2 linked regions of the Caenorhabditis elegans genome follow. The protein of the gene in region 1 interacts with the protein of each later gene in a pairwise test. Each region holds a gene or a part of one and is shown in the gene's direction. Other genes may lie near its edges.

Region 1 (4,400 bases):
AGGAAAAAATCGCACTAAAAAGTGATTAACTGAAAACTTGTTAAACACAATGTGATCTAAAACATTTCAGTTGAACACTTTTTTGTAAAAAATTTCGTTGCCGAGTTGGAACCAATTGATTTGAGCTCAATATTCTAAATAGTTAAAGATCTATATCTTGGCAACGAAATTTTTTACAAAAAAGTGTTCAACTGAAAAGTTTTAGATTACATTGTGTTTAACAAGTTTTCAGTTAATCACTTTTTAGTGCGATTTTTTCCTGCAGAGATATGGAGCCTCAAAAACAAGATGTTTTGCCAATATCGATTTGGTAAAACGTCTTGATAAGGCATCAGAATCAATGATTCGGTCATTGAAAATAATGAAAAATAGGTTATTTGTGACACTCTAAAATATTTCATGCATTTTTTAAAAAATTTCAAAAAAAAATTTTTCGATCAAATTTTCTCATGGGTTTGGTGGAGAAAAAAGTGACAATTTTCGAAAAAAATTAAAATTTCTGAAAAGTTTCCAGGGTAATTATGGTTCAATTAAAAAGCAAAAAAATTATGTAAAACCCTCAAAAAAATGTTCTAAATACTTGTTTCCCGTTCTGAAAATTTTGTATAAAAAAGGCCAAAAGTTAAACCATGTATGGGAACCGAACCCACAAACTTCTGCTCAAGAGGCGAACGCGTTCACCACTCGACCACCGAACCGATGTTTTCGCCCTTCCACCATTGTGGTGAGACTTCTGTTGGCGCCAGAGACAAAAATCCACTGTTAACCATAGGAAATGCACTGATTTCAGTGTAGAATTTCAGACGTAAAAATTTCAGATTTCCAGCCCGAACGGGCAAAAATTTCAGTCATATTCTTATAGTAGAGAATGTCAGCTTTCCGATACAATATTTTTTTTTGAATATCGCTCCATTTATTCTGGTCATTCCCTAGTCAGTGCGGTTAGCATTTCTGCTTTCCAAAATTTCGTTCCCTCGTTCCTTCTTCTGTTTGTCTCGTTGTCTGTGTCCTACAATCTTTATGTTTCCATGTTCCGCGCAGCAGACGTGGCGACCTCTTATTTTCCACTTTTTCATTGATTTATCTCGTCGTTTTCAGAAACCGAGGCAAAATGGTCGTCAACGTGTTCATCTCGGCTGTGACCACTGACACGCTGAGCCGGAAGGAAGCAGTTGCTTGGGTCAATAACCTACTCAAGGTTTGAATTTGCGGGAAATGTTCAAATTATTTAATATTTCAAATTTCAGAGTCACTTCACCAAAGTGGAAGAGATGGCGTCTGGAGCCGCGTACTGTCAGCTCACTCATCTCTTGTTCAACGCCATCAACCTGAAGAAGGTCAAATTCAACCCACGGAGCGAGCCCGATGTTCTGAACAATTGGAAGGTGCTCACAACGACCTGGAAGGATCTCGGCATTGACAAGCCGGTCGATGTCGAGAAAATGAAGAAGGCCAAGTTCCAGGACAACATGGAGTTTTTGCAATGGTTCTACAAGGTACGTTCTTTTTGTGAGAGGCATAATAACTTTTTAATAACTTTTTTTTTGCAGTTCTACAATGCGAACCTGACCACGGAGCCAGAAGAATATGATGCAGTTGGTGCTCGATTCGGAGAGGACTTGCCCGCTCTGAAAGGATCCACAGGCTCTCGTCCAGTTGCTGCTCCTGCTAGACCGGTGGCTGCCGCTCCGCCAAAGCCAAGGCCTGCTGCGCCAGCGGTTGCGGCTCCAGCTGTGAAAGCATCAGTTCCACCGACAGTTCGCAACGGCACCCGGCCCGCTCCAGCGACATCAGCCGGAACTCGACGCGCTGACCCATCTGCAAGCGAAGAACTTCTCAAACAAGGTTTGAGATTCCGTGATAATTGTACTATTATTAAATTTTTGTTTTTAGAAATCGAGAAACACAAGGCCGCCAGTGATGAATGGGAGACGACGGCCAAGGAAATGGAGACAGAACGAGAATACTACTACTCAATTCTTCAGCGTGTCGAAAGTCTTGCCAACGAAGCAGAGGAGAGTGGTTCCAGTACGGTCGACGTGGCGGCTCTGAAGACGATTCTCTACGCCGGAAACGAGGACACTGAGCAGGTCGATGAAATCGAAAACGAACATCTTGTCGAGTCTCTGCAGGCAAATCTGGACGATACGGAGACTTTCTAAATATTGTTGTTTCCCATTGCTTATCCTATCCCCGTATACTCACGATTCCCATCAATTTCTGCTCGTTTTAAGAGCACACTCCCCCCGCTTCAATGTGCCATCGATTTCCACATTAATTTATTATCAGCAATCACTTCATATTTTCTGTAAAATAAGCATATTCGGCGAATATTTTTTATTTATTTCAAGCCTTGGAAATAAACAAGGAATCGCAATTTTTATATCTTTGTATGAAAACATAATTGTCAGACACAACATTGATATCTCTGAAACAAGCCGACTCCACAACGTTGCTCCGCCATAACGTTAATTATCGATTAGCTACTTTGAGATATTTTTTTCTTAAATAAGTATCCAGAAAAATATATTTCAGAGAACACAATGAGCTTCGCCAGTGGATGTACGCCGGTCTCATTCGACAAGCTTTTCGAAGTTTCCAGTGGAGACAAAGTTAGCAGAGGTTTAAAACTTGAGGAAAAAACAGTAGAATAATTAATTTCTATTGCAGAAAATTGGGGAATGATTGCTCGTCCTGAACCTCAACACGATTCTCTTAAGCGACGAAATACGACATCATCAATCGCAAAAAAGAAGGCAAAAATGACACGTGGCGATGAGCAAAGTATAAAATTTCAAATAATTCTTCAATTTCTCAACAAATAAATTTTTAGTCACTGACGAGACGGCGAGAAAAGCAGCAACACAACTTCTCGATCAAATTCAAGATACTCCCGGCAGAATTTCTTTAAACTTTGAAACGTAAGAATTAAGGATTAAATTTGAATTATTCTTTTTAAAAAATTATTAATTTTTCAGTCCCGAAGCTGCAAGCGTGTGTCCGATCCCAACGAGTTTGAATCAGATTGTTAACACGAAATGGACAGTAAATCAACTTCAAGAAGGACAGTTGACAATGCTCTTAGCTCAAGACGCCAATAAGTTCAAGTCCTTGGGTGTCAAGAATATTAAGAAGGGAAGCGTCGAGACGCAGGTAAAGACTTATTCGCTCTAGGCTTTAATAAAACGACAATTTACAGATTCTTCCTCGACAGATGGACGTGAAGGAAATAGTGGAAAAGCTGAAGAAACAGGACAATGACAGTGATCAGTTTGTTGGCTACGCGGCCGCAGTCGCCAATGTTCTTAGAAGATGCGATGCTGAAACAGCGTATGTTAAAAATTCGCTGTTCTGAATATTCAACATTTATTTTTTATTTTCAGACAAAAAATCACACAAGCGATCACGGCTACAATCGAGAAAGAGGCTCCAAGTATTGTTAATTGTTAATATATCATTAATTGTAATAAATATATTATTTCTTTGAAAACAAATTTCAAAGCAGTCCATATTCCTGCACTATTTGTTTTCAGAAAATACGAGGAAATTCAAAAATTGAAACAGCTGATAGCCTATCCCTTTCTCTATTTGGTCATATCATGTTTATCATCTATTACACCTTTTCTTTATTACACTGAAATACATCTCATTTTCCACCTATCACACATTCAATATATTTGAAATGCTAAAATATTATTCGATATTTCTTATTTCCCTAGTTGCAATTATAGGTTAGTAATCTATTTTCGGCTGGGAGTTCAGTTCACGAGAAAGTTTTTAGAAAGTCTTCCATATGATCCATTTCCATATGGATTAGATGATCGTCCAGATCCTTTTTCGAGTAATGCTGGATTGTAAGTTATTTTTTTTGGAGAATAGTCAGAAATTTAACAGGGAGAATGCGTATTACGCAAAATTTTTTTAATATCTCCTAGCGAAAATACAGTAACTCTTTAAATGACTAGTGTAGTGCTTGTGCCGATTCACGGAAATCATTTATTTATCGATAAAATTGTTTCAAAGACACAAAAATGGCAAAAAATATTTTTTAAATAACGAACGAAAATTGAATATCGCTGTCACAATTCGAAAATAAATTAGTTTTGAAAATCGATCCTGTAAATCGACACCAGCGCTACAGTAGCCATTTAAACAGTTACTGTAGTTTTCGCTACGAGATATTTTGCGCGTCGAATATGTTGCACAATAAATTCTCAAACTTTTGTGTTTCCGTAATAAATAAATTAGTTATTTATCGTAGTGCCATAAAAATTTGACGATTCTCTTTAAAGGCACACGTTGGTTTTCTGAGTGAGTCTCGCCACGAACTGTGATTGTGGTACAAGCTTGAAATTTCACATACTTGCTATCAATTTCCATATCCCTATCTTTACAGATAA
Region 2 (5,567 bases), on another chromosome or scaffold:
CTTGTTTGGGCAGCAGACGAGCTTCAAGTATCAGATCTACAGGAGTTGCCAGGATTATCGATTCACGTTGGTTTACCATTTTACCTCTTTTGCCACCTTAACCAATAATAAGTACTTTCGGTCCGTCCTTTTTCGTTTTTGCAGCACGTACTTCAGCACAGTCGGCTCCATCAGCAACACCAGCAGCTCCTGCACAGTCAACATCATGTCGGCAACATCGAACGATCGGGCTCTTCACGACGGCGTCAGCACATTAAATTTCCCCAATTTATACCGTTCGTGGCCCTCATATCGTTCAAGTTGGGCGCCTGGCGCCCAACTGCCCCTAATTTTCTACTTTTGTCACGACCTGTACCACACGCAAAGCCCATAAATTCTGTAACTCAATTTCCTCCTTTTCTCGTACCTCATTTCTCTCGAACGGAGCTAGGAACAAGGGAAAACCTTTTCTCGGGGGAGCGCAGCGACCCGAGAATATATATTTATGAGAAGTAAATTGAGAAACAAATATTCGGAAGCAAACTTGAGAACAGTTTTCCTAATTTCTCAAGAAACAAAGCATTAAAGTAAAATTATTGTGACAATAAGCGTGCTTAGAAACACTAAACGATAAAATTATGTTATTTGACAAATATTTAAACATAATAACAATATAAAATATATAAATTGAAAGGCTAAAAGTATTTAAATAGATATTTGGGAATTAAACTTTGTTGGAACGCAGAAGTTGCGCCCTTGGTTCATCGTTGGCGCGTTTCTCGTGCACCTGCAGGACATGTTTGCGTCTTTCTCGCTTTTTTAATATTTTTTCGTGTTCAATTTTATATTTATCAATGTTTTTCTATTATAAACACTTCATTCCAATTAAATTAAATGTAGTCTATCAATAATACGTTTTTCAGTAACTTAACCACGCTGTCAAAATGGCGATGAAAAGTGTGGCAGTGCTCACAAAAGGCATGTTTGGAAGAATTCCGGCTCAAGTGAGATTTTCTCATTCAAATATACGTTTCAAATAATCAATTATTTAGCTTGCCGTCAGCAGTGTTCCTTCCAACACAATTCAAAAGAGATCCAACTACAAATTCGTTGGTATGCCCAATGAAACCGATGGAACACTGGCTGGAGATTTGAATTACGGGCTTCACAATGTTTTCTTCACCGAACTTTTCAGAGGTAATTTTAAACTAAATTTGAATCAAAATTATTTTGAAGTATACTGTGTGAAGGAAAAATGTCAATTTTTCAGGTTTCGGAGTGATGCTTGGTCACGTATTCATGGAGCCAGCTACTATCAACTATCCCTTCGAAAAGGGACCACTCAGTTCAAGATTCAGGTACAGAAATTAAAAATTGAAATTAAATCATAAAGCATTTGTTATAATCAGCTTGGAAGAAAATAAGCATATTTTGGTTGTATTTTAATAGTTTTCAAAAAACTGAACAAACTTGCACCTTCACACGACACATATTCGAAAATTCTTTAATTAAAAATATTAATTATTTAGTTAATTTAAAAAAAAACAAAAATTATTAACAAAAAAATCAGTATTTTAGAGGAGAACACGCTCTTCGTCGATACCCGTCTGGTGAAGAAAGATGCATTGCTTGCAAGCTTTGCGAAGCCATTTGCCCAGCTCAAGCTATCACGATCGAGGCCGAAACAAGACCTGACGGAAGTCGCCGTACCACTAGATACGATATCGATATGACCAAGTGCATCTATTGTGGATTATGCCAGGAAGCTTGCCCAGTCGATGCAATTGTCGAGGGCCCGAACTTCGAATATTCGACTGAAACTCACGAAGAACTCCTCTATAATAAGGAGAAGCTCTTGTTGAATGGTGATCGCTGGGAGCCTGAGCTCGCTTCCAATCTTCAAGCCGAATATCTTTATCGTTAAGATAATACGAATTGTGGGAAATGAGAAGAGAACATTTTAAAATACCTGATTTTTTCGTAGCTTTTTCGCTTTTCCGTTTTCTGTTGTCAGATGATTTATTTTTAATTTTGAGGTTTTAGTATTTGTTCCCCTTTTCTGATAACTTCCGAATTGTAGATGAAAAACAAAATATGTTATATACTTTTATGTTTTCTCTATGTTTTTCTTAAATATCGTTCACTAGTCGATGTTGCTCTATTGTTTTTTCGATATCTCAAGGTAAAACTGTTACACATTTCCTCATGTGGACTTTTTGTTCCAAAAATTATTCGTAATTCAGATGTCCGTCGAAGAAGGTATGGAAGTTGAGTTAAAGTCAGAGAAAATGGATTTGGATGACAATATTCCCGACTTTGTGAAGGAAACTGTGGAAAGAAGCGGAAAGAATCCAATGTCATTATTCTCAGAGCTTTATGTTCATATGACAGGCAACACTCCAGTTTTTGATTTCTATAACAGAAACCAACCGAACGGATCCATGAAATTTATATGTGTTGTAATTTTAAATGGAGAACGAATCGAGGGAAATGTAAAATCCAAAAAGAAAGAGGCAAAGGTGTCGTGCTCATTGAAAGGACTGGAAGTCGTGCTCAAGCATGTTAGCGAATACGTTGTGCCTGCTGTCAAATTTGAGGAGAAAACCACATTTTTCGAGATGCTCAGAGAACATACATACGCGAAATTTTATGAGTCAGTGGAAAAAATAATTCATAGTGAATGTATCCCTTTTATTATCATTTTAGACTTTGTAAGAACAACGCCTTAATCTATGGATTCGAAAAAGTGATCGCTTCTGTTTTCCTGAAAATCAATGGAAACCTCCAAATCATTGCTCTCTCCACTGGAAACAAGGGATTACGCGGAGACAAAATTGTAAACGATGGAACAGCTCTCATAGATTGTCATGCTGAAATTCTCGCAAGAAGAGGCCTTCTGAGATTTTTGTATTCCGAAGTTCTAAAGTTCTCTACAGAGCCACCCAATTCAATTTTTACAAAAGGAAAGAACGCATTGGTGCTGAAGCCAGGAATTTCTTTCCATTTATTCATAAACACCGCACCATGTGGAGTTGCGAGAATAGATGTAACTTTTCAAGTATTAATTTTTGTAAATTCTTCATTTGAATTATTTTCAGAAAAAGCTAAAACCCGGAACATCAGATGACCTTCAAAATTCTTCTCGTCTTCGATTCAAAATTGATAAAGGTATGGGCACAGTGCTCGGTGGTGCTTCTGAGTTTGAAGCTCCACAAACATTTGATGGAATCATGATGGGAGAACGAATGAGGACAATGTCTTGCTCTGATAAATTGCTTCGAGCAAATGTACTGGGTGTCCAAGGAGCAATATTATCACATTTCATCGATCCAGTTAGTTTAACCTGATTAGTATAACATGAGATCTTGATTTTCAGATCTATTACTCGTCAATCGCCGTTGCCGAGTTGAACAATGCAGATCGTCTCCGTAAAGCAGTTTACAGCAGAGCAGCCACCTTCAAACCTCCAGCTCCATTCCATGTTCAAGACGTGGAAATCGGAGAGTGTCAAGTGGAAGATACTGAGCAATCAACTTCTGCAGCAGCACGATCCACGATTAGTTCGATGAATTGGAACTTGGCTGATGGAAATACAGAAGTTGTACGAACATCGGATGGAATGGTTCATGATAAGGATATGAGCGGGGCTGACATCACGACTCCATCCAGATTGTGTAAAAAAAATATGGCAGAACTGATGATTACTGTAAGCTGGGGGAAAATAAAAATAATTTTCTTGATGTTTTGAGTGTGAAACTCAACAATTCCTTCTATTTCAGATCTGCACGTTGACAAAGACTTCTGTGGATTATCCAATCTCATACGAAGAACTCAAAGCTGGATCTCAAGAATACGCTGCTGCAAAAAAGTCGTTCATTACCTGGCTGCGACAGAAGGATCTCGGAATTTGGCAACGAAAGCCACGAGAATTTCAAATGTTTACTATAAATTAATCAATGCAATTTTACCTTTATTGTATCAAAAGTTCAATGTGGTTCCACTTTTAAAAATCTCATGCAGCATCGTGTATTCATTCCATTTTAGCTGTTAACTCTTAATTTCTGCATTAATTAATTGTTAATCTTTTATTTTTTGGACTTACAATTTTCAGTGATTCGAGTTACTTATCTCGGAGTTGAATATTATTTAAGGAAACGAAAACTGGAATAAATATGTTTTTATAGAAATTTCCAGATGCCTGCATCAGTGACCCATGTGATTTTCGATTTTGACGGTCTTCTCGTCGACACAGAATCTGCATACACGGAAGCGAATATGGAGCTTTTGAGAAAATATGGACACGTTTTCACAATGGATTTGAAGAGAAGTGAGAAGAAATATCAGAAATATTTTTATTTTAATATAAATTTCAGGGCAAATGGGAAAACGCCATGATGAATCGATCCGATGGCTAATCAACGAACTGAAAATCGGCGATCTTGTGACACCGGAAGAGTATTCACGTCAATACGATGAACTTCTCATCGAAATGTTCAAAAGGAGTCCTGCGATGCCTGGAGCTGAGAAACTGGTTCGTCACCTTCTTCATACCGGAGTTCCAGTTGCATTGTGTACTGGATCGTGTAGTCGCACATTTCCAACGAAATTGGATAACCACAAAGATTGGGTGAACATGATCAAGTTGCAAGTTTTATCGGGAGATGATCCTGAAGTGAAACACGGAAAACCACACCCAGATCCATTTTTGGTGACTATGAAACGATTCCCACAAGTTCCAGAATCGGCGGACAAAGTTCTTGTATTTGAAGATTCGTACAATGGTGTCTTGTCGGCACTCGATGCTGGAATGCAATGTGTGATGGTTCCAGAACGATCGATTTTCGACCCCGATTCAGACCCAGAATTCAAAAATCGTGTGACTGTGATTTTGAATAGTTTGGAACAGTTTAAGCCAGAGGACTTCGGATTGCCCCCATATTAAATATATCATATTTTTCTTTCAAAAAACTGATGGTTTACTTCTATCTGTATTCGATCGTACTTTGTGATATTCACATAACCATTTTATATTTCTAGTTGTTTTTTTTTGAATATATTTTTGCAACAGTTTATTTCACATTGACTCTTTCATCGATCGATAGTGTTTGAGGCACTAATTATTATCTTATTTGACTTTCAAAGTTAAGGCAAATATATTATAACTGATTTTCAAATTTTTCTACATCAATCCAAACTGTATTGTGCATATGTTGCTATGCTATGTTCCTTAATCTATCTTGAATTTGGACATAATTTAACTGTGTACAAATGCGCTCTGGTGGTAACCGCTAATTTTGAAAAGAATTCTCGATTATATTTTCTTCATTTTTTGTTTCAGAAATGCAATCAGATGAGCCATCAACGTCATCTGCCAGTTCTTCTCGACGACGCATCGCCTTTGGGCGGCCTCCCGTATTGAGGGAAAGACCGCTTCAATCACCTGCACCGATTACATCGACTTCATTGACGTCCGGGCTAGACAAAGAACCTCAAACATCAACTGACAACACTACAACAAATGGAGAAATATTGAACCCGTCAAGTTCGGAACCCACGTGCACTTCTGTACTTTCTGACCAAAAATCGCT

Evidence for each region. Proteins that work in one complex are often made in the same cells at the same time.
Region 2: the proteins of adbp-1 (region 1) and adr-2 interact in a two-hybrid assay, tested with the Caenorhabditis elegans proteins (2 studies listed by BioGRID).

What each region holds. Positions count from the first base shown.
Region 1 is NC_003280.10:11,441,627-11,446,026, forward strand, and holds adbp-1 (Adr-2-binding protein 1), read left to right. Parts: upstream 1-2,535; 5' UTR 2,536-2,543; coding exon 2,544-2,622; intron 2,623-2,670; coding exon 2,671-2,784; intron 2,785-2,833; coding exon 2,834-2,921; intron 2,922-2,978; coding exon 2,979-3,153; intron 3,154-3,199; coding exon 3,200-3,330; intron 3,331-3,383; coding exon 3,384-3,450; 3' UTR 3,451-3,480; downstream 3,481-4,400. Other genes in the region: ebp-2 (Calponin homology domain-containing protein), read left to right, coding at 1,112-1,198, 1,248-1,496, 1,551-1,845, 1,894-2,162; W02B12.13 (uncharacterized protein), read left to right, coding at 3,683-3,731, 3,782-3,854. UniProt on the Caenorhabditis elegans protein: Required for the A-I editing activity of the double-stranded RNA-specific adenosine deaminase adr-2 by facilitating adr-2 nuclear localization.
Region 2 is NC_003281.10:7,229,538-7,235,104, reverse strand, and holds adr-2 (Double-stranded RNA-specific adenosine deaminase adr-2), read left to right. Parts: upstream 1-2,222; coding exon 2,223-2,632; intron 2,633-2,685; coding exon 2,686-3,025; intron 3,026-3,077; coding exon 3,078-3,311; intron 3,312-3,355; coding exon 3,356-3,685; intron 3,686-3,758; coding exon 3,759-3,932; 3' UTR 3,933-4,066; downstream 4,067-5,567. Other genes in the region: ndus-8 (putative NADH dehydrogenase [ubiquinone] iron-sulfur protein 8, mitochondrial), read left to right, coding at 924-983, 1,032-1,176, 1,250-1,337, 1,558-1,903; R151.10 (uncharacterized protein), read left to right, coding at 4,174-4,306, 4,353-4,921; R151.8 (Myb-like domain-containing protein), read left to right, coding at 5,320-5,567. UniProt on the Caenorhabditis elegans protein: Catalyzes the hydrolytic deamination of adenosine to inosine in double-stranded RNA (dsRNA) referred to as A-to-I RNA editing. Acts primarily on non-coding regions of protein-coding genes including introns and untranslated regions (UTR).